Diceros bicornis minor: one gene and its partner. The protein of the gene in region 1 purifies or fractionates together with the protein of each later gene. This does not show direct contact. Links are inferred from orthologs where the notes say so. Each region holds a gene or a part of one and is shown on either strand. Other genes may lie near its edges. The genes, in order: SOST and LRP5.

Region 1 (15,701 bases):
TAGGCTAGATGGTACTCATCTTATGGGACCACCGTATATGTGGTCTGTCATTGACTGAAATGTCGTTACGGGCACCTGACTGTGCTGAGATAAGCTTTCTGAAGGAAGGGAGCATTGCTTAAGAAGATAAAGCAAAGGGATTTGGACTGGGCTGGTTGTCAGGGGAGTGACACTTGTCTGAGACCTGAAGGGTGACAGGCCTTGAGTAGGCAGGCAGGGAGCACCCCAGACAGAGGGAGCAGCATTTGGAAGTGGCCCAGTCATTCCACAGAAAGTCGCATCTGTTAATAGCAGGGAAACCATATAGTGTATTGCCCAAACTGGGACACTTTTGAGAGTAAAAGTGGGAGCTGTTAATAATTACGCTGAGTCAATAGGTGTCAATGCCTGGCAAACGAGGTACATGGTTGCATTAATTAAGAGCAACAGTCTCCCTGCCTCCTGCCCATCTAGCCATGAAAGGAACTTCAGCTATTGGTCAAAGCCGCCAGAGACCTGAGCCTTTGCCTGCCTTTGGACAAGGGAGAAGACAGAGGATGGTCCAGGAAGTGGGAGGATGGGGGGGTGGAGGAGGGGTGGGCAGGACTACGCCGTCCCCAGAGCTAGAATCAGTGATCAGGACTTAGAAACCAGGGCAGGCCTGTGTCGGGGAACAAGTGGGAGGCGGGCGGGTGTGGGACACGGCACCAGCTTTCAGCTGCTGCGTCTCTGAGCTCGGCTGACGCGGGTAGCTTTTGCAGGCTCTCCACCCCCCGCCCCCCGCAGCTGCCCGAGTCCTGCCTACTTCAAGGACAGCAGGGAAGGTTGGATTCCTGTGGCTTCTTTGAGTTTCTTTTGCTCTACCTCCTCTTGCAAAAGTGGCCTGATGCATACTTGCAGTGTAGATAGAGACTCATGGAGAGTGTGTGTGTGTGTGTGTGTGTGTGTGTGTGTGAGAGCGGTAGAGAGAGAGAGACCTATTTCCCTCTGCCCCTCTATCTGTCTGACTCTCAGACTATTAACACAAGCCCGTCCTGGCTGCACCCCTGAATGTGTGCTTCCCGCAGCACACTGCCCCTCCCAGCTGAGCCTCCTGGCTGGTCCGCTTCTGATTGGCGCCAGGCTCATAGACCCCATGTAGGTAGAATATAACTTTCCATAAATAACCCTTAGCCTGACCTACAATTTAGCCTTTGGGTTTTTTCCCCTCGTGGTAATGGGATTGTAGCCTGGGCTGAGCCCTCCTGGATCTCTGGGTCTCAGAAAGCAGACCCTAGGGGCCGGCCCCGTGGCTTAGCAGGTAAGTGGGCGCACTCCACTACTGGCGGCCCGGGTTGGGATCCTGGGCGCGCACCGACCCACCACTTCTCTGGCCATGCTGAGGCGGCGTCCCACGTACAGCAACTAGAAGGATGTGCAACTATGACATACAGCTATCTACTGGGGCTTTGGGGAGAACAAGGGGAGAAAAGGAGGATTGGCAATAGATGTTAGCTCAGGGCCAGTCTTCCTCAGAGAAAAGAGGAGGATTGGCATGGATGTTAGCTCAGGGCTGATCTTCCTCACACACAAATAAAAGGAAAGCAGACCCTAGGTATAGCTGGTGTTGGGGCATTGCTTGGAATTCCTGGTTCCCCAACACTGCCTGGCGCAGGCAAAGACTCAGTACACGTTGACGAAGGGTGCTGGATCGAGTCTTATCCCCCAACGAACAGCCATGCGCCTTCAGCCTCAGTGCCTTTGCCTAGAATACCTGTGCCCCCTTCTCCACCTGGCCAGCCTCTAAGCAGCACCCGCCTCTGTGAAACCTTCGCTAACCTTTATCCCTCATCCCCACCACAGAATGAATTATTCTCATCCTTAGTCCCATAACACTTTGTACAGAACAATGTGACCTATTTGCCTACGTGCCCACCAGGCTCTGAGCAGCTCGAGTGAGTGTCAGGGCTGGGAACTGAGCCCACCCCTGGCTGCGGACAAAACATTTAACCCCTTGGTGCCTCAGATCAAACACAAACATGGCTCCAGGGCCCATGTCCCAGCCACTGTAGCACATTGCCTCCGGGGGCTGGACAATGTATCCATTTCCTACCCACTCTCCTGTTCCAAGCTCTGGGACACTCCTCACAATGCACGGATTCCTTGCAGGGTCTCACTGAGGCCACCTCGGAGCTGGAGGCAGCAACACCCACTGACACCTCTCAAAGACTTGATGATGGTAATAAATTTATGACGGTTCATTGGGAATTACAGTGGAAAGTCATCTGGGAGGACTTCAGCTTACTTTGGGGGGTGAGGAGGGCTCTTGGGGTGCGGTTACCCCAAGATGGGATGGACTTGATTTAAAACTTTGCTATTGATCATCCCTCCTTATGGCAACAGAAGAGTAGTTCTTGAGTCTCAGCTAGCGTCCGGCACTATGTGGCACCTTAGGTGGTAAGACTTTGAGAGAAGTGCCAGACATTGTCCCTGCTTGCGACGAGCTTACACCTTCACCAGGGAGGCATGAAACTCACGTTGAGAAAAAAGCTTGACTGAGCTCCCCGTGAGCTGGTCCTGAATTGTACTGGGCTCAGTGTCTATCCTGGTACTAAGCAGGACTTGGCCAGGTGAGACAAAGTGATCCAAGAATGAACGTCAAACGTAAGACAGAGACTCAGGGATCAAAGCAGTGGCATGGATAAAAGGGGCTGCACATCCAAGGAGAGAGGGATCAGCGGGATTGGAACATTTCTGGAAGATTCAGGGAAGAGGTGACAAGAAACATGAACCCCCCAAAAAGAGCAGGAGTTGTTGTGGGTGGTCAGTGGGGACAGCAAACCAAGGAGGCAGGGAGCAGTACAGCAGTACAGCCTGTGGCCACTTGGAGTCAGTACGGAAGCTTCGTGGGGGGGGCGGGGGATGGGAGTCAAGCAGGGGAAGGTCTTACATGTCAGACTGAGAAGCCCGAACTTGATCCTGGGCAAGAAGGAGCTGTTGAAGGATCTTGAGCAGGGGTATGCACGATGAGAACAACGATTTTAGAAGACAGCATGAAGGGCAGGCTGCTCAAGGGAGAGCAGGCTGAGGTGATTACAATGGCCAGGCAATGAGGAATGAGGTCCAGGTTTGGAAAGGAAGGGACAAACATGACTTTTCAAAGGAAAGACTGCCACAAGGGCCACCATAGCACAAAGTACGTCCAAGGTTGTAGCCCTAGTGACCAAGAGAAGGATGTTCACTTTGACAGAAATGACTGTGTGTGGTTGACAAAATGAGACCACATCCTCTCCATAACGATCCATTGTCTTTATTAACAATGCCTCTGGATTCTGAAGGAACAGACTGGTATTTCATAAAGCAATATTAACATTGTCATTCTCTACAAGAAAAACTTTTGCATAAATAACTTAAGTGAGAAAATAAATATGTAACTTAACTCTTTTTAAAAACTACTACTTTCATTCTTGCGGACAAATCCCACATGAAAGGACTACAAAAATGACCAGCCCAGCAGGCTTTCACACGGCATGTGCTTCTGTTTAGCAAAAAAAAAACTTTTAACAATTAAAAACTACACAGAAAGTAAGAGGTGCCTGGAAATGATTTTCAAAAAGATGTTTGGATGGCAGCTATTAGGTTTTGCAGTTTCTCAGCATATGTACAGCACTTGTCATTTTTTCCCCAGTAATATTATTTTAATGTAAGAAATGCCATCACATGTACCAGCAGGAAGAAGCTATTTTCTGGACAGAAATGTGTCAGTGGATGGAAGGCAGGAGGAGGTACCTCAGAAGGGATCTGCTGGCTGCTCCCTTGGGCCTGCAAACCCAGTGTCCTGGGACCCTGAGCTTCTCTACAGAAGGTGACTTTAAAATATGGCCATGGCAGGGGTGGGGTGGCGGGCTGCTCTTTGGGAATAGAGGGGTGATTTCTGTCCCTCCTGCCACCCTTGGGACCTTCTCCTTCTCTATCCCAATTGATGGTGTTGTTTCTGCATCCTTTCAGATGGAGCAGTGGAGGTAGCCAAACATCTGGGGAGGCCAGGCTGGGAAACAACACCGCATCCTTGGAGAGTCTGTCAGCTTTAAATAGATTCGTTTCTTTTTTCTTGCTTGTTTTTCATCTCTGGCTGCCAGATCAGAGGATTACAACTCAGAATTCTGGAATTCAATCCAACCTCTCTCTCTCCCTGCCCATGTAAAGGGCACTCGAGTCTTTGCGATCAGACGCCAGTAGATTCCTCGAGATCCTAATTCCATTCCCTACCTCCATTTTACAGAAGAAATCGAGGTCCAGAAAGAGAAGAGGGTAGCCACCCGGCAAGTTAGGGGCAGAGCTAGGACTAGAAGCCCCGTCTACGGACCCCAGTCCTGTGTTCTTGGCACAACGCGGCACTAAAGGCTTCACGACGGGCAGAGAAGTAGAGGGGGAATCTTATGGAACTTTCTTAACCGGTCCTCGGCCTTTTCTCACTCCCCACTACTCCCTTAAAACCCGGTGAAATGCTTCCCTTTCTGCCTCCTTCGAAGTGGGACCAGCCAAGGTAGGCGGCCCCGGTGGGCGGGGCTGCGTGGCTCAGTGTCTGTGACTCTCAGCTCCCTCCCCGGCCTGCGGGACCCCTTAAGCGGGCGGGGAGAGGGGGGCTTTGCAGGCACCCAGGATCCGCAGGGCCTAGCTACCTCCTGCCGAAGCCAGGAAGGTCTCGGCCCCCTGCCCTGGGTTGCAGGCATTTAAAAGGAAATACAAACAATCAAACCGCGCGCGGAGGGCAGGAACCTGGGGCGCCTGGGTCTGGGGCGCCGGCTGGGGAGGCGCGGCGGGCGGGCTGGCTCTAATAGGCGTTCTCCAGCTCGGCCTGGTTGGCTTTGGCGCCCCGCGCGCCGGGCCGCGGCTTCCGACCCTTCTGCGGCCGCGCGGCCTCGGGCCCGAAGTCCTTGAGCTCGGACTGGTTGTGGAAGCGGGTGAGGCGCTTGCACTTGCACGAGGCCACCAGGCGCACCTTGCGCGCGCGCGGCGCCGCGCCGCCTGGGCACTGCAGCTGCACCCGCTGCGCGCGGTAGCGGTCGGGGATGCAGCGGAAGTCGGGCCCGCTCGGGCGCCACCACTTGCCGCGGCCGATGGCGTTGGGCAGCAGGCGCGCCGGGCCGCACTGGCCCGAGCACACCAGCTCGGTGACCGGCTTGGCGCTGCGGCACGGCCCGTCGGTCACGTAGCGGGTGAAGTGCAGCTCGCGGCAGCTGTACTCGGACGCGTCTGCGGAGAGAGGCGCGCGTGAGGGCGACGGCCAGGCCCAGCCCCCGATCCCCGCCCGGCCAGGCTCCCTCCACGCCACTCCCGCGTTTTCCAAACCTGCCTCTCTCCAGACGCTCTTGCCCCTGGGAGTTATTATGGGAAGGGCCCAGGGACTCTGGGGCTGGTGGAAAGCCCCACCCTGACCCTGACCCACCCTCTCCCCCTAATTCTTTGGAGCCAGTGACTGCTGTGGTTCAAACACCAACTCCATCACTGCGTGATCTTGGGCAAGTTACTTAACCTCTCTGTGCTTCCTATCTGTAAAATGGGTTGTCTTGAGTATTCAGTGAGTTAACCCATTACATAGATAATGCAGGGGACGCCACTAGGCGCGTGGTAAGAACTGAAAGTGTTGGCTATTGTTATGTGTTGTTATTATTCGTCTCTAAGGGGGCCCTCTTCACCAGACTGAAGTCACACCTGTGCCACAGGGTCCCTAGCCATGGAGGGTAGGTGGTAGCCACACCCTCTGCATGGCTCTGGCTTCTCCCAAATTTCTTTTCCAGCCACTTGGGAGGGGTGGAGAGGGGATGGAGACAGGAGTAGGGGTTAATTGGAGGTAATAAGTCAGGGCAGCTGCTGGGAGGAGAGGGCTGGAAGGGGAGGTGGAGAGAAGTCTTTCGACTTGAAAGGAACCAAAGGCAGCCTGTCAGACCCCCTCATTATCACTGAGGACACTGAGGCCCAGAGAGGGAGAAGGGCTGGCTCAAACGGCAGACCTGGGTCTCCTGACTCCACTTCCCTGGCGCCCCGGAACCTCTCAGCTCCCACAAGGGTGGAAGCTGTGTGCCTGATCACCCATGGGAGGCTAGGCTGGGGGAGGGGCGAAGGGCTGCTTTTTACTACAGTTACTTCCCTACCAGAGGAGGACCAAGCTTGGACTGAAAACCTACAGTTTCGGCTGCCACAAACATTAAGCACTTGCTGTGTACCAGGCACTCTGCTGGGCCATTTGATGGACAGGCTTGCTCCCTGGGTCCGGGGAGATTGGGCTCTGAGGCCTGGCTTGGTCCCCCCAAGACATCTTGATCATGTTTCCTACTGTGGGCTTAGTCTGCTGGGAGCCTTTTAAAGAGCTGGTCCTCATGTGAGCGCCTGTCTACCCCCAAGGGTCTCATGGGGACAGTTACCATGTGACACGAAGGGGTGAAAATAGTCCTAAGAGCAAAACCAGAGAGGGGGCAGAGAAGGCCAGGCCCCCACCCCCAGGCGCTGGAGGACAAGCACAGCAGGGGAGTTGTGGGGTTTGCCTTCCTTCCCTGGCTGGCCTTCTGGTTTCTGGGCTAGTTTGGCATCCTCACCCCTGCTCCCAGGCTGTGGTGTGTGGGAGTGACCTGTTTGCCCAGGGAAGGAGGCAGTTTGGGTCTTTCCAAGAATAGTGACCCTAGGTCAGGTGCTTCCTCTGCAGAGGGTGACTTTGTTTTGAGCACGTGGCTTCATTGGGGCTTGTGCCTCTCATGGGAGCCCAGGGAGGTGGATGTCTTGTACTTGAGTCCCCTACAGCCCACTGCTGGAGCTTGGTGAACTTGCCTGGGGGAGAGCGGGGGAGGGGCCTCCTGCTCTCCCGTTTTGAAGACCTGAGGTCCTCCAGCCTCTCTGGGGTTGCCCTTTGCAGAGCCCCACATTCCCAGGTGGTCGTGAGGCGGGGAGGGATGGGATGCAGGAGCCTGGGCAGTGGACTCCTCTCCCACCTGGACAATGGCCAGAGGGCAGTGAGGCCCTCACTCTGAAGTGTCATTCCAGTCCCTGCCCCCAGCCATTCCTGCCAGCTGCAGAGCCAGCTGTGCACACTGCCTCCCAGGCTCCTGTGTGCAGACCTGAGCAGGAACCCAGCTGTGCCCTCCACCGGGGCCACTGCCTTTTCACTAGGGCCAGGCTCCCTCCCCAGGAATGAGGCAAGGCTGGGTCTGGGTTGGGGACTCAGGACAGACAATGCCACCTGTGTCCACTCCCTGCACAGAGGATGCTGCCTCTTCTCCAGGCCCTGGACCCAGCTGCCACCTAGGTCAGAGGCTAAAACTGTGCCTACAACCCCCGTTCCTTCAAGTGCCGGCTCACTGGGCAGACCGTGGGCAGGGGGGCCAACGGGGAGCCTTTCTGGCGTCCCTTTCCCACTTCTCTGCGAGGATTTGCTCTGGCTCTTGGTCCCCAACACCCCCACACAATCCCCCCACCAGAGTTGTCTTGGAATTGGCTCAAATTGGGTTCAAATCTCAGCTCTTCTACTCACTACCAAGTTAGTCTCTGGAGCCTCGGTTTCTTCACCTCAAACTGGGAGTTCCCCTCATGGGGCTCCCACACTGTGGGTCTCTGGGGACAGGACAGGCACGGCGGCGTAGTGTCTGGCTTCCAGCAGGTGCTCAGATGACAGGCTCCCTTGCCTTGTCCCCTCCCCAGTGGTGCCAGCAGCTGGACCTGTACTCCTCTATTCTCAGGAGGGGATTCTTTGAAACCTTTTTTCAGAGCCCCTGAGCCTGTCCCAGTGCTGTACCCTCACCACCTGAGCCTCCTTGCTGCCCCGGGCTCTCACTGCCAGCCTCCTGCCAGCCTCACGCCCCTGCACTCCAGTTCCAAGGCTACACTGGCATGCCATCCTTCCCCTGCCTCCAGGCAAGACTGTCCCTCCACCGGTGCTGGCAGTGGCTGACAGTCTACCCCAGTCTTCAAAACCTCCCACAGAGAACCCACCAGGACCCATGTGCTACAGAGTCTCTCCTCCCCCGTACCTTTGGTCTCAAAGGGGTGGTGGGGAGGCCTCCCTCCGTTCTCCGCCCGGTTCATGGTCTTGTTGTTCTCTGGCTCTGGGGGAGGCTCGGGGTACTCGCCCAGCTCAGGGATGATTTCCGTGGCATCGTTCTTGAAGGCCTGCCACCCCTGGCCCTCCACCACGTGGAAGGCTGCGTGGACCAGCAGGCAGACGAGACACAGGGCGAAAGAGAGCTGCATGGTGCCAACCGTAGGAGAGCACCCAGCCTTCCAGGAGCACAGGCTCTGGTCCCCAGCCCGGACACGGTTGCCTTTTTAAAGCCCCCTCTGCCTCATGCCAGCCAATGAGGACAGGCTGGGGCAGGGCTGGTCCCATGCTTCCCTCAGCCCAGGGGGAGGGAACAGGCTGTGCTCCGAGCAAGCCCTCTCCAAAGACTTCTTCTCAAGCCCAGAAAACTCCCAAATTGCTGCTGGTGCTCCCAGGTGACCCAGGGAGAGCAGGGCGTGTGGGGCAAGCCTGCCCTCCAACACCTCCCACGTGCAGGCGGCTGTGGTTTTCGGATATCAAATGAGTTCCGGCTCTTCATCTCTACCTCCCTGGGTCCCTCGGGCTTTCTCAAAACAAACTGTGGACCAGCTGAACACAGAAAACTGCAGCTCTGGGTCCTCCACAGGGCTGAGCCCAGCCAATCCCATTTCTCAGGCCAAATGCATTTGTCATCGCACCAATAAATGGCCCTAGGGGTGTATATTTGGCCCCCACAGACCCAGACAGAGGCAAAAGGATGCTTTTTAAGAAATCTCATCGGGTTAGCTCAGGGCCGGTCTTCCTCAGCAAAAAGAGGAGGATTGGCATGGATGTTAGCTCAGGGCTGATCTTCCTCACAAAAAAATAAAAAAAGAAGAAAAGAAAAGAAATCTCATTGGTCCCAACTCCATGAGGCTCAGCATTATCCTGACCAAGAAAGCCCTTCTTGACATCCTCTGGAAGGCAAGAGAGAAAACTGGGGGGGGGGGGGGGGGGGGGTCACACTGAACATGCCTGCTTGGGTGAGGGGCAGGGACTCTGGTGACAAGGCCGGGATGAGCAAGTCAGCAGGCTCTGGCGATGAGCTCGAGGAAACCTCAGCTCATGCTCCTCGGGGATCCTGCACACGGTGACAGGCACTTTATGGCCAGGACACCCTAGGGCTTGCAGGCTGATGTGCCAAAGGCAGTTATTTCCCCAGCCGGGCTGTGGGTAGGAGTGGGGAGCACAAAATCCCTTTTCTTAGCAAAAGCCAGGGCCAACATTTTTAGTGCTGAGATTTTTTTTTTTTCTTGTCTCCCAGCCCACCACAGTTTTCAAAAGCAGCTTTGAGTGCTAGATGGAAAAGCTTATTGGTGCAAGTCACGGGCTGCATTCCATGAAGCCATCGCAGGTCCAGCTAGCCACAAAGAAACGAGAAGGAATTGCTACCTCAGCCCTGGAGCAGAATGAGGGGCCTTGAAGAGGGAGAGGCACGGGGCAGGAAGGTTCACACCTGAGGTGCAGGAAAAGAAAGGAGGGCCAGCGGAAGCTTTCATCCAAAACGGATTGTTTGAGGAGCCGCGCCCACTCCTGGCCCTGAAGGGAGGCTGGGAAGAGGGCTGTGGCCTAGGTCTCCTTGGTATTTCCACTGGGCCATGAATCAGTACGCCCCACCTGCAGAGCCTCTGCCAGGCTTTTGCCACCTGCCTCGACTTGTAGGTCGCTGTGTCCATCTGCGGCCGTCTGTCCCTCCTTCTTTCCATCATCCATCACTCGACACATGAATGCAGCTGCTCTGACAGTTTTACAAGCCAGACAGAAGCCTCTGCAGGAAGGGCCCTCTCTGATACCTGCTTCCTATGTCAGTTTCCTTCAGGGCAGACGAAAACAGCTGTGGCCATTGTTGGGGGTGATCTATCTCTCCCAACAGAGCCGGTGTATTGTGAGAAGCTGGCCCTCTGTGCCCCCTCCCCTTGTCTGTGACCCTCCAGCCTCCTTTCTCCTTGCTCTGGAATGTGGACCGTTAACCCCGTCGTGGCTGCACAACTGCCTTCTGGGCCTGGACTTCAGAGAGGGCAGTTCTGACGCCTGGATTCCTTGAGCTGGCGCGATTGATGCTGGAGCCCCACCTGCTGTTGGGAGCCAGCCCATCCACATGAACCCCGCGACTGTGAGGGCCATCTTTGGAACATTTCTGCCACCTGCTGGAGAAGGAAGGAGGAGCCAGCGACCGAAGGATGGAGAGGCTCAGTATTGCTTTATTTCGTATCATTACTTTATTTGAAACTGAAGTAATGTTAAGAGAAAAAAGAGAAGAATCCAATGGACTTGAACCTCTAAATTATCTCCTTCTTTTTTAATTATTCTCTGCCAATGTATAGCCATGCTTTTTACAGAAGGGCTCAGAGAGAACATGCTATGATACCATCTGCTTTTTCACTTAACGCTAATTCAGCTTTCTATTTACTCAGTCCACAAGCTTGTCGTTGTTCAGAGCTAGACACTATTCCCCAGGGTTAAACCCCCAGGGTTTTAGCAGACTTCTGTTGTAGGTAGTTTAGGTTTTAGCATTTCCAATGCTCCCTTATCCTCAGTAGGGATGCTATGAACATCCTTGTACAAAGTAATTTTTTGAATTAAACTTTTTGTTTTGGGATCTTTGTAAATTTGCATACACTTGTAAGAAATAATACAGAGAAAATTCCGTATACCCTTTACCCAGTTTCTCTCAAGTAACATCTTGCAAAACTATAGGACAATATCACAGCCAGGATCTGGACATGGATACAATCCCCCAATCAAATTGAGAGTACCATTTTAGCTGTACTCGTGTGTGTGTGTGTTTAGTTCTATACAACTTTATCACATGTGTGGGGTCAAGTGTCCACCATCACGGCCAAGATGAAGAACAACTTGTGATCAAAAAGATCCCTCTCGTGGTCCTTTTATACCCACACCCACCCTCCCCAAGCCCTCCCTCTTCACCCCTAACCCATGGTACCACTAACCTGTTTTCCATTTCTATAATTTTGTCATTTTGAAAATGTTATATAAATGGAATCAACCAGTACGTAAGCTTTGAGAATTGGCTTTCCTCACTCATAATTCTCTGGAGATTCATCCAAGTTTTGCATGTATCAACAATTTGTTGCTTTTTATTGCTGAGTAGTATTCTACCAAGTAATTTTTTTTTAACTTTAGGGTTATTTCCGGAAGCAAATGCTGGGTCTGAGAGGGTGAATGATTTTGCTACATATTGCAGGGTTGTTCTCCAGAAAACCCAGTCATTTCCTCAGTCCCACCAGCGACATACAAGTGGGCACGTGCATTAGCTTGTGAGGGCTGCTGAAACAGATACCACAAACTTGGGGCTTAAACAACAGAAATGTATTGTCTCACAGTTCGGGAGGCTGGAAGTCTGAGATCAGAGTGTTGGCAGGGTTGGTTCCTTCTGAGGGCTGTGAGGAAGAGTCTGTTTTGTGCGTCTCCCCTAGCCTCTGATGGTTTGCTGGCATCCTTGGCATTCCTGAGCTTGTAGAAGCTTCACCTCGATCTCTGTCTTCATGTTCACATGAGTTCTCCCGGTGTGCGTCTGTGTCCTCATTCCCCCTTTTTATAAGGATGTCGGTCACAGTGGATTAGGGCCCACCCTAATGACCTCATCTTAACTAATTACATCTACAAGGACCCTACTTCCAAATAAGGTCCCATTCTGAGGTACCAGGGCTTAGGATTCAACATATGACTTGTGGAGGGACACAATTCCATCCATAACAGCATGTTTCTCCACAAAGCTGCCAACACACCGGGTTTGAGCTGTTAACATTTTTTAAATTGAATTTAGTAATTTAATAGTTGTACCTTAACTCCTAGTGAAGTTGTTTTTCTGTGTGATTATTTACTGGCTTCTACCAAGCTGCCTATCCACTTGCCAAACATTTAATGAAGCAAGGCCTCCCACCAGGCTTCCAGGAGCTCCTGTACCAGAGAAGTAATAAGTTCTCCACCCAAATAACTCCAATAGCACGTAGAAAGTGATTGGTACCACTAAGAAATGGTTCAGATGTGTTTTTTTAAAAGGACAAAGTGTTCTGGGCCTTAGGAGGAGAGAATAATTTCTTCCTTGCTGAGGTGGACTTGGCATCCTCACGGGAAGACGTAGCATTTGGACCAGACTTTGAAGGACAGGCCAAATTTGGCAAGTAAGTTATGCTCCTTGGACCTCTTAGGATCACAGAATCTTTGATCTGAAAGGAACCTCAAATGTCACCTAGTTTCACTGTCTACTTGGTTCTCAAGCTCCCTGACTCTAATTCATGGAAACTGAGGATTCTCCTTATTGGCTCCATTTTTAAACAGATTTTGCTTCCACAGGTCAGTGGTAAAAATGGAGTCTCTGGGGGCCGGCCCCATGGCCTACTGGTTAAGTTCAGTGCGCTCTGTTTCGGCGGCTGGGGTTCAGATCCTGAGCACGGACCTACACCACTCATTGACGGCCATGCTGTGGCAGCAACCCACATACAAAATAGAGGAAGATTGGCACAGATGTTAGCTAGGGCAGATCTTCCTCAAGCAGAAAAACAACAACAAAAAATGGAGTCTCTGACTTTGGAGAGCAATTTCTGCAGGTCATTTCCTGCATTGAGGGAGGTCCACGTCACCCTGTCTCTATTCAAGCTGAGAACTTGTTCTCTGTAGAGTTCGGGGTCTCAGCACAGGGGAAACGCCCTCCTTGTTCATTCAGCAGCTTCCGAGGGACAAGGGGGAGAGGAGCTCCAACGAGCTTTGTCACTCACCCTCCTGCCTAGAATAGGCGAATGGCTCCCCCGGCCCTAACAGGATAACCTTCCACTTCCTTCTGCCTGGCAGACCATGCCCTTCAAGGTGGGGCCCTGACTCATCCCCAGCACCTCCCCAACTGCCATTCAATTCAAACTACCACCCTCTGCCTGCAGAGCCCCTGTCTGCAAACTCTTGTTAAAGAACAAGGTATTTATGATGCTTGTTAAAAATGGTAAAGAAAACTTTATTCAAGGGAGTACTGTGGTGAGAGGTATAGGGCCACTGCAATGGGCTCTTGCAGTGGGGGAGAGAGATTGGGCTCCACGCCGAATACGAGGTAAAGTGGGGTCTATAGCCAAGGAGCAGGGAGGGGGGCAGTGAATGAAAAATTACTAAGAGGAAGTATTAGGGGTAAGGGTGATTTTGGCTACCCCAACCTAAGAGGATTCTTGGTGAAGGCAGGCCAGGGTGGTCAGACTTCACCTGGGGGGTCATGGGGGATGAGGAACCCAAATAGACATTGAGGGTGATCAGATATGGAGGGTGGAGGATTCTTACTAAAATTGAATAATACAGAGAGGAACAAGGAAACCCAAAAGTCGAGGCCCAGTTGAAAAAAGCTCAGAGGAGCCTAACAAAGGTTTGGCCCAAGAGAGGCTCTTTGTCACCGTGTGTGTCTGGAGACTGTCTTCTCCCTCCAGAACCCGGCTGCACCTGCCCCCCACTCTTCTTTCTCCATTTCAACACCTCCCTCCCTCTTCTCTCTGCCCTCCTTCCTCTCAGGGTGGCCGCTCAAGGCCTCTGTCCTCTGGGGACATTAAAGTGGAAGGTCATCTAGTTCATGGGCTTTCAAACTAGGTTTCTCCGAACCCCAGGTTTCCACAGAGATAGCTCACGGTTTAAAAAATAAGTACATTTTCGTTATTTAAAAATACACACACATTAATCAAATGTGTTACGCATCTACTTTCAATGAACTAGAGACCACTCATTCATTCAGTGCTGCCTCCAGGGTAATTCATTTTAGCGTAGACCTCAGAAACTGAATCTCCGTGCATTTGAACTCCTTATAAATGCGTCAATTCAGAAGGCCATAGCTTGGAGACTGTCTTTTTAAAAAGTTAGGCTTGGGCATGTCCACCCCCATAAAATGACACAAGCGAGCACAGGACACTCCTTCGCTCTGAGTATTGGGATGGGCTTGACACTGTGCCACCACAACAGATGACAGAAAGTAACAGGATACAAGGCAGATAAAAAATTGCAACTGTCATCTGTAAGTCTCATTTCAACATTCTGTGCTCATGAAAGCAGCTCAGGGCCGGCCCCGTGGCTTAGCGGTTAAGTGCGCGCGCTCTACTGCTGGCGACTCAGGTTCGGATCCCGGGCATGCACCGAGGCACCACTTCTCCAGCCATGCTGAGGCCATGTCCCACATACAGCAACTAGAAGGATGTGCAGCTATGACATACAACTGTCTACTGGGGCTTTGGGGAAAAAATAAATAAAATTAAATTTAAAAAAAAAAAAAAAAAGCAGCTCAGACCTTTAAAATAAAAGTATACAGAAATCCCAGTCCATCCACACACAATGGAATGCTACATAGCTGTTAAAAGGAATGGGGCAGAACTATAAGAAACAGTGGGTAAAAGATGTTGTCAAGCAAAAAAAGCAAAGTGCAGGGGGCCGGCCCGGTGGCGCAAGCGGTTAAGTGCGCGCGCTCCGCTGCGGCGGCCCGGGGTTCGCTGGTTTGGATCCCGGGCGCGCACCGACGCACTGCTTGGTAAGCCATGCTGTGGCGGCGTCCCATATAAAGTGGAGGAAGATGGGCACCGATGTTAGCCCAGGGCTGTCTTCCTCAGCAAAAAAAAGAGGAGGATTGGCGGATGTTAGCTCAGGGCTGATCTCCTCACAAAAAAAAAAAAAAAAAAGCAAAGTGCAGAACATTTTCCACTTATAGAGAAAAAGATCTCTCTGTGTATACACACATATACATATGTGTGTGCTTACATACATGTCAGATGTTTCTAGAAGGATATACTTTATAGCGGCTTCTTCTGGGGAGAGGGATTAAAGGTTTGGGGTAGAGGATTCACTCTTTGTTATAAGCCTTTTGTATTGTTTGAATTTATTACTATGTATATACAGTATTACATTTTTAATTAAAATGTTTTCAAAATTATACTTTAAAAACACTTTTTACCAGTTTCACATATCAGTGCTCTGCCTTAAGATTTTGTGTAAAAATATGAAGATTATATTGCAAAGAGGTTTGACAAATACTGAGCTAGTCTAACCACCTCACGCTACACATCGGGAACTGGAAACGAGAGAAGCTCTTTTTCTGCCCAGATTTTTTCTGTGTGGGAGAAAAGGCACCCAACTTGCTCTGCGTTTTTTATTTATAGGAAAAAGGCAATGCTCATCATAAGGGAGATAGTGCTAACAGTGGAATTTAAGGCATCTGGGGGCAGGGGTATGACCTGGGACTGCCTGTTTGCAGAACCACTCAAATCCTAATGCCACTCGATCATCTTCATGTGAGTCCACCTTGAGACTGTCACCCCAACCCCCTGCTTTCTTAGGAACTTAAATCATACCTCCGTCATTTGGAGTGGGCCTCTCTACTTAAGAATGTTCCAGTCAATTATACCTCAATAAAGCTGAAATTAAGATAAATAAAAATAGAAGAATAGAATAGAATACTCCTAACACAAGAAATTTCTGGCACTGGAGAGAAGTTCAACGAACATCCACTGCATAAATATAATTGTCGTGGAACCTACAACTAGCTCAGGAGGGCTAATTTTTAAATGATGATTATTTTGCAAAGTTAGAAAATGCAGACATAAGAGCTAAGCATAAAAGCATAAAAGAAAATCAACTATGATAAGAACAAAAAAAGACCATATCTTTGTAATGTAAGACATTTATTTTGGTTACAGTTTTA
Region 2 (15,835 bases), on another chromosome or scaffold:
GGATTTCACGAGCAAGCAGGGCTCAGTGGCGCTCCTGGAGAACCTGGAAAAGGGGCTTGGGAGACCTCGCCCTGCTGCCTCTAGCCCAGGGAGAGCAGCGGGGAGACCTGTGGTTTGCCCCATCCTTGCAGGGAGAAAACAGTCTTGGTACAAAGTCTGCAGCACAGTTTGTTGACTGTGAGGCGGGGGCTGCCCATCAAAGGTGCCGGGTGCCCTGCCCGCTGTGACCTTCGGTCAGAGAATTACTCACAAGCAGGGAGGGACGTGTGTGATCCTGGCCCTGGAGAGGTCACTGGCAGGAGGCTCGTCCCCCATCTCCAGAAGCTCCCAAGCATCAGGTTCTCAGCCTCGCCTGCTGCGCCCAGTGGGGGACCCCAGAGGTGCAAGGGAGCCCAGGGTCTCACTCGCTGCCTTTGTGAAGATTCGGCCTCCTTGCTGCCCCAGCGCCCAGCAAGTGTATCTTCAGGCTCAACGCCAGGCCCAGCTATCCTGCTGGCCCCACGAGGCCAGAGAAGTCCTACCCACTCCCGCCAGAGCCCGGGGGCTGCTGCTGCTTCTAAGACTCAGCGGGGAGAAGGAGGGCCTTCAGGGACTAGCAGGAACCCAAGATCCCACAGGCATGCCCTCAGCCTCAGCCCTGAGACCTGTACACTCCCGCACCACCTCCAGGCGAAACCTCCTGTCCTGGGCGCCCTCCGTGACTTCCCTTCCCATCTCAGCTACTGGGGATGGCCATGCTGGGATCCCACTGGGATGCAGTGTGTCCTGCAGGAAGGGCGAGGGCGAGGGCGAGACCCACCCCACGTCTGAGCTCCAGGAAGGGCCCGGAGAGGAAACTGCACAATATTCCACTGGGGCAGAGCCCTCATTGCCCCTGCAACCTGCCTGCCCACAGATCACCTTCCACACCCCACAAACCAGCCGCTCCGGGTCCCAGACCTGGGAGGCGCTGTTCCACACCCTGGCGCTGCCCCCTCAATCCCTCCGGGAGTGCCAGGCCTCTCCATAGCTGCCCGTCCAAGCTGATCCTCTGTGAAGGCCTAGTTCACCTCGTTCACCACCCTCCCGACCCCCCACTGAGTTTCCGCAGCCACTCTCCCTCCACTCCTCATCTCTGGCCCAATCTGACCACTCCCCAGCCTCACTCAGTGAAAGATGACCCTAATGTCTGCAGAGGGCAACAGCTAGACCCAGAGACCCCGGGGTAGGAGGACTGACCAGCCCAGACGAACTGTGCCCGCCTGCGGGGAGGGAGCAGATGCCAGCGGGAGAGGAGACTCCGACCCTGGAAGCTGGCAGGAGCAGGAGCCACAGGGCACTGGGGAGCCATAGAGGATTTGTGAGCAGGGAGGGCCACGGTCAGATGGGCATTTTAGGACCGTCACGCTGGCCGTGCCGAGGGACAGAATACAGCGGGGAGAGCCCAGGGGCCTGCAGCTAGCCGTGGAGATGGAGAGAAATGGCACCCAGGAGGGTCGTGCCTGAAGCAGGGGTGAGCTTGTGAGCAGGAGGGGCGGGGTTGGGGGGTAGGAGCAGCTGACTCAGGGAAGCGAGGGAGGGAGGGAGGTGTGGGGTGGGAGGGGCTGCAGAATCCAGACACGAGATACAGCAGGAGCAGCCTTTGGGGCTGGCAATGGGAAGGAAGGTCATGGCAGGGCCAGGACTGAACGGGCAGGAGATGAGGACGGGGGCAGCGAGTGTAGACGCTGGGTTGGAGAGGCTTGGCAGCTGAGCTGACAGAGAGGAAAGAATGAAGGGCAGTGGAGAGGTTTTCTTGTACTTTTTAAGAAGGGAGAATCTTGCTCATGTTTACAAGCTTAGTGGGTGGAAACAGAAGAGGGGGGTGAGCTGGACTTCGGCCAGGCAGGAGGGGTCCCTGCAGGGGGCGAGGACCTGGGAAAGGGGAGGTGGTCAGTGCAAGGGAGGGGATTAGCCCAGCAGGAGGAGGGCCATGGTAGAGCCGGGAGGCCTGGGTTCAAATTCTAGCCTCGCCATTTTCCAACTGTGTGACCCTGGGCAGGTGCCATGTCTGTCCTGAGCCGTGGTCTCTCTCTTGAGATGGAGTTAAGACAGGACTTTCTGCCTTGGTTTTGTCTGATATTGAAGGCCTAAAACAAAATAATACATGCCATCCTGCCGGGGGCTCCAAGCTTTAGGGGGCCCCCACTGCACCCCCCAGCCCACCCATGCCCACGGGTGACATGCTCCCTGATGCCCCCCACACCTGCCCCTGTACTTGGACCCCGAATTTTCTACCCAAACAGTACAGAGCCGGAGTCACAGGCTGTGCAGGCACCTCCCCCAGACCTACCCTTCCCCGGGAGACCTCACCTGGGGCAGAAGTCCAGGGAGGTCCCGGGCTGGGTCTCCTGTCACCTCGCCCCGGCACAGAGGAGTCCAAAAAGTCTAGATGGCATTGCCTCCCTGGGGTTATGAGGTGTATTTGTCCAGCCAGCGGGATAGAACACTCCTTACTCTGCAATCTGTGGGCTGATGTATAACTTTTTTTTTTTACAGTGACCACCCATAATTTTATTACATAGCTTCAAAATTTATTAAGATTTTGCCACATTTGCCAGAAATATAAATATTGAAAGTACGTTGCAGACAATTTGGAGCTTCTGCATTAAATGGTTTGAAGAGAGCTCCTAAGAAGATTCTCTTATGTAAACGGGATAGTTTTGTCACATCTGAAAAAATACTCCTAATTCTTAATATCATTAGAGTTATTTTTTTAAGCAGTTTTTTTTAAAAGATCAATCGGCATATCTCTTTTGTCTCTTTTTATGCAGAAAAATCCCTCCACCTTTTTTTAAAGGGCACTGCTGTGTTGAACAGTGGTTAAAACTTTCAAGTGGCAGGCATGCTGCTGGGTCTGCTTCGCTCTTTCATCCTGGGTCACCCACTCGCCTGAGGTGAGGGCCCTGTAGGAGGGAGCCTGGTTCTGCAGCCCCAGGGTGACCCACTCGCCCCAGTGTGCCTGGAACCTTCCCAGATTTAGCCCTGAAAGTCCCATGTCCTAGGAACTCTCGGTTGCAGGCACACCGGAGTGGTCGGTCACCCTATGGCCCACGGCCCACCTTGAGAGTATAAAAGAGGGGTACGTGGAGTGAGAGAGAGAGGCTCCAAGGTGCATCCGCCTCATCTCGAGACTGAGAAGGAGGCTTTGAGGAACTAGGGGGGCTAATGTCCCCAGAGCTGGGGTCTGGATGGCGGACAACAGGTGTGTCTGGTGATTGCTCTGCGCCTGATACGTTATTGGTCAAGGCTGTGGCTGCCTGGCCAGCCGTGGAACTGGACAGGTGGCCGTGATTCCTGGATGGTTGGGCCAAGGCGTGTGTCACAGGGGTCAGGCGCCCTCTGAGAAATACCCAAGTGACCACAAAGAGCCCCAGAGAGAAAGAATCCACATCTGGAACCCCCGAACCTACAGGTTTTTGTGTGTGTGTGTGAGGAAGATCAGCCCTGAGCTGACATCTGTTGCCAATCCTCCTCTTTTTTGCTGAGGAAGACCGGCCCTCAGCTAACATCTGTGCCCATCTTCCTCCACTTTATATGGGATGCCGCCACAGCATGGCTTGACAAGCAGTGCATGGGTGTGCGCCCAGGATCAGAACCTGCAAACCCTGGGCCGCTGAAGCGGAGCGCACGCACTTCACCTCTGCGCCGCCGGGCCGGCCCAGAACCTACAGGTTTTGAGCAGTCTGGGTCACAGGGGCGCCGGTCTCCCCGGCTCCTTTCCGTACCCTCTGTCCCTCCCTCCCCCCAGCTCTGGCCTTGAGGAGCAGAGCAGAGGCCAAGCTGGCCTCCCCCCTGTGGCTCCCCTGCCCACTCAGTTGGGCTGGAGCGGGGGAAAAGCTGGGACTCTGAATAAACTTTAGGTCTGATCATTAAACCAGAACTGGAATTGCAGCTCCTCATCTGAGGCTGTTCTTGGGACTGGAAGGGCCCCGAGGACTTCATTGCCCCTGAAGGTGACCAGAGAGGCATGGCAGCCACCCAGTGTCCATCCAGGTGCACTGACCGCGGGGCCTTCTGCCTCAGCCCTGTGGAGTCTTGCATGTTCAACCAAGTGCCTAGCATATGCTCGGCCCTCGGAATAGCCAGGTGCACGCGAGCCACTGCGTGTTTCCAAACAGCTCTCCTCAGGGTCCCGGGCCACCGGCCGCTCGCTAGGTCCAGTGGACAGTCTCCACCCCCATGCCACTCGTCGGACAGCCGCCCCCTCTTGGCCCTGCCCCTCCACTCACTCTCTGCCCTGGGTCCCGGGAGCCACGCTGCCCTGCTCCTCCTCACCTCTGAGCCTGCAGGGCCCCAGCGCGCAGCCCTCAAACCCCTTCCTTCAGAGCTGCTCCTGCGGGATCACGGCCTTAATCCTGAAGATTCCCGCATTTCTATGCCAGCCCAGCCCTCTTCCCCAACCCCGGACGCTGCCCACTCTATTCCTCCACTGGGAAATCTAATAGGATATCGGCCAGACAAGTTCAAGGGGGACTCCACCCCCACCCCCGGGGTCTCCTCCCTTTCATTCATCAATTCTTACATCTCAGTGCATGGCAGCCCCCACCTTCCAGGCGCTAGGGCCAAACACTCCGACATCACCCTCGACTCTTCCTTCTCTCACCCTTGACCTTACCCTCCGCATCCTCTCTACCCTCAGAGAGATCCAGAATCCAACCACTTCTCACCATCTCTGCTGCTGCCATCTGGTCACCCTGAACTTGGACCACAGCAATGGCCCCTCATCTGGCCTCCTTGGTTCCTCTCCCGTCCCCTCTATTTCCCACACAGTAGCAGAGAGATTCTGTAAAATGGAAATCAAATCCCATGCTCCTGGCCCTCCAAGGGTCCCCCCATCTCTCTCGCTCAGAGGAGATGGCCTCCACGGCTCTGCAGAGCTGGCCTGCTCCTCTCTGTACTTGGCTGTCTCTGCTACAGCCCCTCTGGCCCCTCACTGCACCTCAGGGCCTTTGCACGGGCCTTCCCTGCTGGCTGCAAGGCTCCCTCCCTCCCTTCTTCCAGGTTCCTGGATAAATGTCCCCTTCCTAGTGAGGCCTTCCTCACCCCCTGACCCTCTTATGCTGCTTTATTTTTTCTAGAACAGGTGTCACCATCTGACCCCCTAGAGCAGGGATGGGTGAATGTTTCTGTACAGGGCCGGATAGCAAATATTTTAGGCTTCACAGGCACACAGTCTCTGTTGCAACTACTCAATTTGACCGTTATAGTGTGACAACAGTCAGAGACGATACCCTGGACAAGCGCTCACCTCTCTGACCTCAGTTTCCTTCCCTGTAAAATGGGTTGTGAAGATTAGGGATTGTGTTAGTTTCCTGGGGCTGCCGTTAACAAATCACCACAAACCAGACAGCTTAAACAGCCAAAATTGATTCTCTCCCAGTCTGGAGGCCAGAGGGCTGAAATCAAGGGGTCAGCAGGGCCGTGCTCCCTCCAGGGGCTCTTGGGAGGCTCCTTCCTGCCTCTTCCAGCTTCTGGGGGCCCCTTGGCTCCTGGTGCATCCCTCCGATCTCTGTCTCATCTTCACACCGCCTTCTCCGCCTCTTGTGTCTGTCTCAAATCTCCTTCCGTCTTTCTTTTATAAGGACAATTGTCATTGGATTTAGGGTCCTCCCAGATAATCCAGGACGATCTCATCTTAAGATCCTTAACTTAATTACATCTGCAAAGACCATTTTTCCAAATAAATTAAGATTCACAGGTTTCCAGAATTAGAATGTGGATTCTAACCTTTTTTGGGCCACAATTCAACCTACTTCAGGTGTCTTTAAGGCGCTTAGAAAGGAAAATGAAACCTGAATGTCAACTCCTTAATCTGCAGTGAAAATAAAACTGCTAAGTGGACCCGACACTTGTGTGGCTCTGTCTAGAACATTCTCCCCAAGGACGCAGGTTACACAGCAAGCCACGTCACCAGGAGGGTCGAAGCTCAGGACTGCAGAGACTGAGGCGTGGATGACCACTATCAGAGGAGGGGCCTGGCTGGGCCATGCTCATGCCCTGTCTTGGGTCCATGTAATCACCATTCACATTAATGCAGCGCGTTAAAGTATAAAGTGCATTTTTACAAGTCTTATCTTATTTGAGGTTCACACCAGCACCGAGAGATAAGAAGTGGAGCAAACACCATTGTTCCCATTTTTATGAATGAGGAAACAGAGGCTCAGAGAGGTGAAGCCCAGCCTGTGTCCCTCACACCCCAGCTATCTCCATGGAGACTGTGGCCAGCTACTAACTAAGCTTTCCACTGCCCACCACCCTGCGCCGACGGCCGCCTTCTCTAGCCTGCTCCTGGTGCGGATGCCGGGAGGTGGTGCGCTTGCAGCGGGGAGGCCCTGGGGATCTGAGGGATAGGCCGGTCAGTGGATGTTCGCATCGCGCGCCTCCACCGAGCTGCCCTCGTGAGGATGCTCGTGGCTTAGAGAGCCCAACCCTGCGGGAGCCCAAGGCACACCTCTGACCACAGCCGCCAGGCCTGCCCGGCGGGGGGGTTCTCGTGCCCAGAATAACTCTCCAGAGTCAGCATGTTCCAACTGGGGAGAGAAACCAAAAAGGCACTTTTCCCCAAGTGTTACAAGGCTGAGATGTTATCCTCAGATGGGCCCTAAATGGACTCCGGTTGAGCCTCTGTCCCCGGAAACGATTAGATCCAGCAGGTGCCAATCCCCCGTGACTTCACTGGGTTGGAACTTGCATCAGAGGAATAAATGGAGAGCGAACAATTCCAAACACGAGGCCGAAGAAGAGTTCGGTGGCATGGTGAGCTGTGACAGGCAGCCTTCTGGGGAAGTGGAAGCTTAGCACATTCTCTGGTTGCTTCTTACATTAGTGAAAAGTCTAAAAATTACCGCCCTTGTGATGCCAGAATTCTGCAGGATAAAATGGTGATTAGTTCTCATTGGTTCTTTGCAAACAGCTTTTCTCAAAGTTCTGATCGGCATCAGGCAACTTGGGATCTCGCTCTGATGCCTCAAGACCTGGGGCACAGTCCCTTTCCTTTCGAGGAGCCTCCGGTGGCCCCTCCACAATGGATATCCCAAGAGTTGGCACAGGAAAGCCCAGGGCACCCCAGGAGCTGCTACCAGCCTCCCCCCACCCCCTGACTTAACTGGCCTCTTCTATATATACCGAATTCTCCCATTCAAGAGTCAAGCGTTCCGTCTCCCTCCTTGAGAATACAGAATCCCAATGTCTGTCTGTTTGTTTGCTTATATCTCGGTTCATTTTCCTTTCCGTCATTTGCATCACTGAGTGTAGGGTCTTCAGCTTCTCCGGATCCCTTCTCAGATTTAGAACTTTGGACCAGCTGCTGTAATAAGTGTCCACTAGCAAAGCCCCTACTGCAGGCCACCCTGGATCCCCTTCCCCTCATCCCCACAGCCAGCGCCCTTAGCAAGTCCCATTAGCTCGTCCTAAAGCATCCGGAATCCAGCCCCTTCTCACCATTCATGAGCCCCCCACCCCTGCCAGTCCAGGTGGCCGTCTCCCCTGGCTGCTACCGTGGTACCCACTTGCTGACCAGCCCCCACATCCCCTCTTCCCTCCTGACAGTCCTGTCCCCACTCAGCAGCCAGAGTGCTCCTTTTATGAATGTAAATCAGATCTTTTCACTTCAGTCATTCATTCAACAAACATTTATGGAGTACCTACCATGTGCCAGGCCCTGTCTAGCCTCAAGGGATCCACAGGGAACAAAGCGCTGAAGTCTCTGTTCTCATGGAGCTTCCATTCCAGTGGAGGGAAGAAAGATAAGTAAACAGTTTGTCAGATGGCGGTCTGTGCAAAGAAGAAAGGTAAAGCGGAAAAATGGAGCCAGAGGTGCCGGCAAGGGTGGAGGGGGGCTGGTTTGCAATTTTCATAGGGGGTCAGGCAAGGCTGGATGAGGAGCTGAAGGTGTGAGGGAGTGAACCATGTGGATAATGGGGTAAAAGAGTTCCAGCAGAGAGACCAGCAAGTGCAAAGGGCCTGAGGCAGAGTGTGCTGGTGTGTTTGAGGACCAGCGAGGAGGCCATTGTGGCTTAGTAGGGTGAGGGAGAGTCCAGAAGGAGGTTGGAGAGATAAAGGGAGAGGTGCGGCCAGATCAGGCGCTGTAGGTGCCATATGGCCTTTGGCTTCTATTCTGACAGATATGGGAGCCATAGCAGGTTCTTGAGCAGAGGAGGGGTGTGATCTGACTTGTTTTAACAGGCTCACTCTGGCTGCTGTGAGATCAGGCTGAAGGGGTTCAAGGCCAGAAGCAGGAGACCCATCAGGGGGTGAGAGGCGACCCAAACTGGGGTAGTGGTAGTGGAGGTGTGAGAAGAGCCGGGAATCTGCGTCTGTTTTGAAAGTGGAGCCAACAGGATGTGCTACTGGGCTTGGGCACGGGTGTAAGAGAAGAATCAGCGGAGATTTTGCTATTCAAATCCCTACGATGGCTTCCATTGCTCCTGGGATAAATTCTCGACTCCTCTTTGGGGTCTGACATGCGCTGGCCCCAGCTGGCTTCTTCTGCTGCTCGGTGGTGGTGGCTCACACGTCCCTTCCTGCCTCAGTCAGAATTCCCCCAGACACTGCAGCCCGACACCCTCCAGTTTTCCCAGCATTCCTCACAGTCTGTTAATGGCGTATGCACATATATATTTTTAATTTATCTGTCTTCTTTTGGTCTCCTTCCCTAGAGCAAACCCCAGGAGGACAGAGACGCTCTGTGTGACCACTAGCTTTGTAAAGTTGTCACAAATGCATGAAGAACGCACGTATCCGGTTGTTCATCTGTCGCCGCCAGTTCTCTGCACCTGCAAGGTAGGCATCGCTATCCCTATTTTAAAAGGGAGGAAAGTGGGCCGAGAGGGGTTATATCGAACCCAAGGGCACACCTGCTTCTGGGAAGCAGCAGAGCCTGAGTTCGAACTCGAGACCACAGGTCCAGAGCCGTTGCCGTGGCCCCTGGCAGCCCCTCCTGTGCCCTCAGAGTGCAGGGCTGAGCTTGAGGCTCAGGGGGGCACAGAGCGGGGAGGATGGGGGACGCCCAGCGCCTGCCTGTCGAATGAGTGCAAGGCGAGGTCTGCGCTCCTAGGGGGCCTTTTTCCCCCAGCCCGCCCAGAAGCATATTGGGAAGAACGCAGCGTGTACTGCCCGGTCTCCGTGCACCACAATTAACGTAGGGGGCAGACATTTAGTTTAAAAATAAAACCTCAAGCCCATCCCCACTCCCAGCCCGTGCCGCTCCCGCCCCTCTCCATCATCCGCTTCTGTCCCTGCCCCGGCATCGCCTCGCGGTCGCCCTTCGCTGCCCTCCCCAGCGCCCCTCACCGGCGAGAACAGGTGTCGCGGGGCCGCCCCGACGGGCCCCTGCCGGGGGTGGCTGCGCTCGCAGGACGGCGCACAGACCTGGCTCCGAGCCCCTGGCTTCCAGCCCCAAAACTGCCTTTCTGTGTGCCCTCGGGCCACCCCTCTTCCCTCGCCCCGCCCCCGTGCCTCAGTTTCCCCATCGGTAAAGGCCGGGTCCCGGCAGCTCTACAGGTGACACACCTGCTTCCGGGACTTGCTCAGTCCCCGGGCCCCGCGGGGTGGAAAGCCGGCGCCCGACCCCGCGCCCCCGAGGGGCCCCAGAGCGGCCCCTCGGGGGCGGCGCGGGGCGCGGGCAGGGCCGTGGGGAGCCGGCGCGGCGGCCGCCTGGCCCGGGGCCGGCTCCGGGGGGCGCCCGCGGGAGGGCGCGGCCGGCGCGGGGGGCGCGGGCGGGCTGCGGCGGCGGGGGGCGGAGACGCGGCGCGGCTTCCGCTCCCGCGCCCTCCTCCCTCCTCCCCCGTCGTCCTGGTCCGCGGCGCCCGAGGGGGGAGGCGGCAGGCGCCGGGAGCCGCGCGAGGAGCCGCCGGCGCGCCATGGAGCCCGAGTGAGCGCGCGCGGGCCCGGCCGGCCCCGGACAACATGGAGGCGGCGCCGCCCCGGCTGCTGCTGCTCGCGCTCTGTTGCAGCCTGGCCCCCGCCGCGGGTAGGTGGGCGCGGGCCGGAGGGACAATGGCCCGGGCGCCCGGGCGGCCCCGCGGCCAAGTGCGCGGCGCCGCCTCGGAAGCGACTTGGCAAGTTGGGGGCGAGTTGGGGCGCGCACCGCGGGTCCCCGCCGCCCCCCGCCGCCCGGGGGCCGCGCGCCGGCCCTTTGTCTCGCCCGCCCGGGCCCCTCCCGGGAACACCGGGGCCCGTCCCGCGTCCCGGGCGGGCGAGCAGGGCGCGCGGGCGGCGCCGACCCCGCCAGGTGCGGCGCGGGCGGGTCCTCACCTGCCCGGGCCCGGGGCGCGCTCGGAGGTGCGCCCGCGGGAAGCCGGCCGGGCGAGGCCGTGCCGGGCCCGTGCGGACCCCGGCCCGCGGGCAGGCACAGAGCGGGGCCGTTCGGCCCGGAGACAGGCCTGGCCGCCCTGCGTCGGGGACTCTCCGGCGAGCCTGTTTCCGATGGCCGCGCGGCCGGCCTGCGAGCTCCGAGAACTGATTGAAGTTGCAGAGAAAGTTCTGAGACCGGGCGCCGGGCGGCCTGGCCTGTCGCGCGGCCCCCTTTGCTCGGCGTGGCTGTCGGTTTCCAAACGGACTGACACCTGCCAGGTGGCAGGACGACCCGTCTGGCCGCCGGGGCCCCGCACAGTGGCGGCCGAGGGGTCGGTGTCCACCCCGGGGGCCGGTGCGTGGGGCCGCCGCGCGGGGTGACGTGGTCCCGGAGCGCGGCGCGGCAGGGAAGCGTGCTCGGCTCTCGGCTGTGCACACCCTGTGGGAGGTCGGGGGCTGGGGACCTTTCTCTCCGACTTTTGGTGTGTCCCGAGGGGTGGAGTTGAGGTCAGGAGGACTCGGGAAACCTAAGCGCCTTATGAAACGCTACACATGTTCTTTTAATTTGGAGATTGCCATGTGGTTTTTGAAGCCAGTCTGTCCTACCTAAAGCCTTCTCTTCGGACGTGAGTGTTTTGTTTTTCTGGAGTGTGGCTGGCCAAGGGGACGCGACCAGCGAGTCCTGTGCTCTCCGGGCTGCTATTCTGCTGGTGGCAGTTTGGGGGCGGGGGGGGGTCCCTCGGGTCCCTTTGTCTGGGCCTCTTTAAGGCAAACAGCTGTCTCCCTGAATATTTCCAGTGTGGACTTCGCAGGGAGGTGTCCTGGCCTGGCTCTGGTGGCATTCCCAGTGCCTGGGCCCCTCCATTGAGGTTTGGGGGGCTAGAGAAGGGGGTGTTTCCCCAAGTCTGCCAACCTCCCAGCCCAAGCCCGGAGACTGTTGGTGGTTTCACCCCAAATTTGTCTTTCTCAGGAACGTGTTTACATTTCTCAGCCATGTCTGATACCAGCAAAATGAGGTGACGGCAGAACAATGACAGTATCTGGGTAGTCCAGGCCAACGCTGCTCCTTTTCTTTCCGGAAATGCCTGGATCACGGAGGCAAAAGGGTTTTTTTTGGGAAGATGTTTGTTTTAAAGGTGGGGTTTCTCAGCCGGCTACGTTGCCTTTCACTTTGTTGCAGTTTTGAGTTTCCTCTACCTTTTGGGGCGACTTTGCTGGAATCGAACGCCCGTTGGTGTGCGGTTCGAGCCCGGACAGAGTCACATCTGTGGAGTTCAGTTGTATGTGAGGCAAAAATAGAGTTGATTATTTTAACATTAGGGAGTATGTCAACACGAGGTTTGCAGAGCACTGGTTAACGTGGTAATCCAGTCCTAAAATGGACGGAAGGGGAGGAATCTTTCTGCAGAGCGATTTTTGACTGTTCTCCGTTTGTGATATCCCGCATTTCTATGTTAGATTTATGCCTTGGTCCGGAGTGGAGCCAGTAAGCTGGTAGCTAATTATTTTTCCTGATTGCTTCCTGTTGCAATTTGAAGCTGTGAGCCCACGGAAATGCCTTTGTTCTTGTGGCCCCCGTCATGGGAATGGCCTTCCCCAGACCCACGGCCCGGGCTTCTCCCCTCTGGCCCCACAGCACTTGCTCCAGGACGGCCTTTCCAGGGCCCCCCGCAGGGTGGTTACTGCAGATGCTCACTGCGAGGTGCACCAGGAGGGCCCAGCAGGTGGGTGTTAACTAAATTCTGCATGGAGTCCACTGAGGGAGTCCCCCCAGAGGACCTTCTGCTTTTTAAAGCAGAGCCCACATGCCTTTCACCCTCCCGCTCAGATCCAAGAATTCACCCTGTCAACCCGGATGATCCAACATTTGCCGTGGAGATCCCGTTGTAGTTGGAACCCGTTTAATTTCAGCGGCACTGTGTCACCGCTCAGGCATTTAGCAGCATTTGCACGCTGGGGTGGGGGGTGCAGTCAGGTGAGGACTCAGCATGGCTTCCTGCCCTGAGGTGTGGGCTTGCCAGGCCTGAGAGCCAGGGCTTTGGGCTCAGACTGTTCTCCGTTTGTGATGTGACAGAAAGCCCAGGTTTACATGCTCAGTAGCTGTTTGACTTCGGCTGACTGACTTAGCTTCTCTGTGTCCGGTGTCATCCCCTGGTCCCCCCCACCCTAGGCAGTTGGAAGAGTTAAATGTGTGTGCAATCCTCAGCACCATCCCTGTCCTGGGCGAGGGACTGGTGGTGGCCGAGCTGCGAGGCCTGTTGTGTAACGGGGTCCTTGATCTTTCTGGGCTGGAAGGTCTAGAAGCCGTTACCGCTCAGTCTGGATGATTTCCTCGGCGTGCGACCTTGGATGTTTAGTGCGCTGTCTGACTCGTTTATTGCTGCAGCACCACATGGAGGCCCTCGGGGTGATGAACGTTGTGGGCAGGGCCCGAGTGTCCGGGGTCTAATCCCAGCCTTGCCGGTTGCCATGTGGGGGAGCTTGGGCAACTTGCTCCACCTTCGTGTGCCTTGGGTTTCTCTTCTGTAAAATGGGGGTAATAATACTTAATACCACTAATTCAGGGAGTTAATACACACCCAGCACTGTATCAGCTCTTATTCTCGTTGCTGTTACTCTTTGGCGCCTGGTACTGTGTGAAGTGCTGGGGATAGAACGAGACAGGACGGATGGAACGGCAGATCCGGCTGGGCCTTTGCTGTCGGGAGGGTCCGTGTGGAGGGAAGCAGGCAAACAGAAGCCGGCTGAGCAGCTGTGGGAGAGGCAGACCCGGGGGCTCTCTCTCACAGTCCTGGAGCCCCGTCCTCAAGGGCCGGGTGGTCTCCTCTGCTGAAAAAGGCCAGATCACACTGCAGAGTCTGGATGTGATCCAGAAGGCGATGGAAGCTTCTGGAAGACTTAAGTCGGGGGCAGGAGGGTGGATAGGAAATGCAGGCTGGAGTCAGGTCTGTACTAGGTGAAAGGTGCTGAACTGATCTTTATTTTTCTTTTGATTAAGGTGAAAATCACATAATATAAAATGAACCATTTTTTTATTTTTTATTTTTTGTGAGGAAGATCAGCCCTGAGCTAACATCCATCCTAATCCTCCTCTTTTTGCTGAGGAAGACCGGCTCTTAGCTAATATCCATTGCCAATCCTCCTCCTTTTTTTCCTCAAAGCCCCAGTAGATAGCTGTGTGTCATAGCTGCACATCCTTCTAGTTGCTGTATGTGGGACGCGGCCTCAGCATGGCCGGAGAAGCGGTGCGTCAGTGCGCACCCGGGATCCGAACCCGGGCAGCCAGCAGCGGAGTGCGCGCACTTAACCGCTAAGCCACGGGGCTGGTCCTAAAATGAACCATTTTAAAGTACACGATTCAGTGGCACTTAGAACATTCACGATGTTGTGCAGCTTCCATTTCCATCAAGTTACAGATCGTTTCTATCACCCAAAAATAAAACTCCGTGCCGTTAAACAATAACTTCCCATTTCCCCTGCCCCCAGCCCCTGGCAGCCACCAGTCTGCTTTCTGTCTCTATGGAGTTGCCTGTTCTGGACATTTCATATACGTGGACTCATACGACACGTGGCCTTTTCTGTCTGGCTTCCTCACTCAGCTTAATGTTTTCGAGGTGCGTCCACACTGGTGGAGCAGTGGTGTCTGCTCCGAGACAGGCCGCCCTGCGGGGCCGTCCTGGGGACAGCGCAGGTCCAAGTGCTGATGTGCGGAGGCAGCTGCAGCCGCACAGACAGGGCCCCAGGGTCCCGCCCGCTGCTCCAGGCTGCTCTCTTTAGCTCTGGAAAGCGGTTTGCCAGCTCTCAGTCTCAGTTTCCCCGTCCTCAAAATTGGGACGATGCATCTGCCTTGCAGGGCACTGGATGGGGTTCAGTGAACCAGTGTCTGGGAGGAGGACACGGGGGCCCTTTCCTCCAGGGCCAGGTTCGCTTTTAAAAGATCCCGATCACCCTCGTCCAGCTGGGGGCCGGGAGTGGTGTAAGATGTTGGGGCTCTGTGTTTGGCGCTGGTTTGCCCCCAGGAGTGGCGGGCAGCCCTGAGCTGGACTGGAGCTCCAAGCGGGAGCAGACCTGGCCGCTGACCCTTCCCCTGGCAAGGGGGAGTCCACGAGGCTGTGTGCTGACTAGGGAGTGCCCTTGCCCACATCTGTCCTGCCTGTTCTCGGGCCCTGAGCAGCCCCGCTATCTGTGCGCCTCCCAGCCCAGCCTTTGCCCCCACCTGGCTGGGGACAGTTGACACTCCGCTGGCCCACCTATGGGCTCACCTGCCCGGTGAGGCTTTGCCTTGCACTCTCGTGGTGGCAGCAGCCGCGTGGCGCTGGAACCTCAGGTTCTGACCGAGTCTGTGCCCAGAATCACGTGTCCACTGTTCTGTGTCCCCCTTGCTCAGGATCTCTCTTGCCTTGGACCCCCTGGGAGGTTGTCACGGTGACGTCAGAATGACCTGTTTTTCCCACTTTTAAGTGTGCGACTCAGTGGCATTATTTACATTCACAGTGTTGTGCAACCGTCACCACTGTCTATTTCGAAAATTTGTTTATTACCCCAAACAGAAACTGTACCCATTAAGCAGTCACTTTCTCTCTACTTTCTGTGTCTATGAATTTTCCCATTCTAAGGACCTCATATTTGTGGAGTCATGCAATATTTGACCTTTTGTGTCTGGCTTATTTCATTTAGCATAATGTTTTTGAGGTTCATCCAAGTTGTAGCATGTATCGGAACTCCATTCTTTTTTACTGCTGAATAATATTCCTTTGTATGGAGAGAGCATGTTTTGCTTATCCGTTCATCTGTTGGTGGACACTTGGGTTGTTTCCACCTCTGGATATTGTGAATGATGCTGCTGTGAACATTGGTGGGCAGGTATCTGTTTAAGACCCAGCTTTCACTTTTGGGGCTATACCCAGAAGTGGAATTGCTGGATCATATGGTATTTCTATGTTTAATATTTTGAGGAACCATCAGACTGTCTTCCACAGTAGCCGAACCATTTTACCTTCACATCAGCAATGCACGAGAGTTCCAGTTTCTCCACATCCTGGCCAGCCCTTCCCATTTTCCCTTTTTATGGTTCTAACCCTCCTAGCAGGTGTGAAGCGGTACCCCATTGTGGTTTTGACTTGCGTTTTCCTGATGGTTAATGACATTGAGCATCTTTATAAGTGCTCGTTGACTGCTTTCTTTTACAAATATATATATATTTAAATGCAAGACACACGTGTAAACAGCTTAAACATGTTCCATGGTACCTCTGTCTGTGAAGACGGGCCTCCTCCTTTATTGCCTAGTTTATTTCTCCCCTCAGAGATGACCAGGCCTTTAACACGTATTTTAACGTGTTACATTTTTTTGAACACATCCTCATGTTTTTTATATAAATCCCATCACTCTCGATCATTCTATAGTCTGTCTTTTTCACTTGCTAATGTATCAGAAACATTTTCTGTATCTTTACTTTTAGATCTTCATTCTTTTTAAAAGCCAAGTATTTCGTCGTATGGGTGTATCATACTTCTTGGCT

What was found.
Region 2: the proteins of SOST (region 1) and LRP5 purify together in Homo sapiens (affinity purification with mass spectrometry; 3 studies listed by BioGRID and IntAct, counting the BioPlex papers as one, with this or other methods). This does not show direct contact. The link is inferred for Diceros bicornis minor from reciprocal best matches to the Homo sapiens genes SOST and LRP5.

The regions. Positions count from the first base shown.
Region 1 is NC_080757.1:42,469,097-42,484,797, forward strand, and holds SOST (sclerostin), read right to left. Parts: upstream 8,336-15,701; 5' UTR 8,200-8,335; coding exon 7,980-8,199; intron 5,215-7,979; coding exon 4,793-5,214; downstream 1-4,792. UniProt on the Homo sapiens protein: Negative regulator of bone growth that acts through inhibition of Wnt signaling and bone formation.
Region 2 is NC_080770.1:5,621,493-5,637,327, reverse strand, and holds the start of LRP5 (low-density lipoprotein receptor-related protein 5), read left to right. Parts: upstream 1-9,842; 5' UTR 9,843-9,927; coding exon 9,928-9,991; intron 9,992-15,835. UniProt on the Homo sapiens protein: Acts as a coreceptor with members of the frizzled family of seven-transmembrane spanning receptors to transduce signal by Wnt proteins.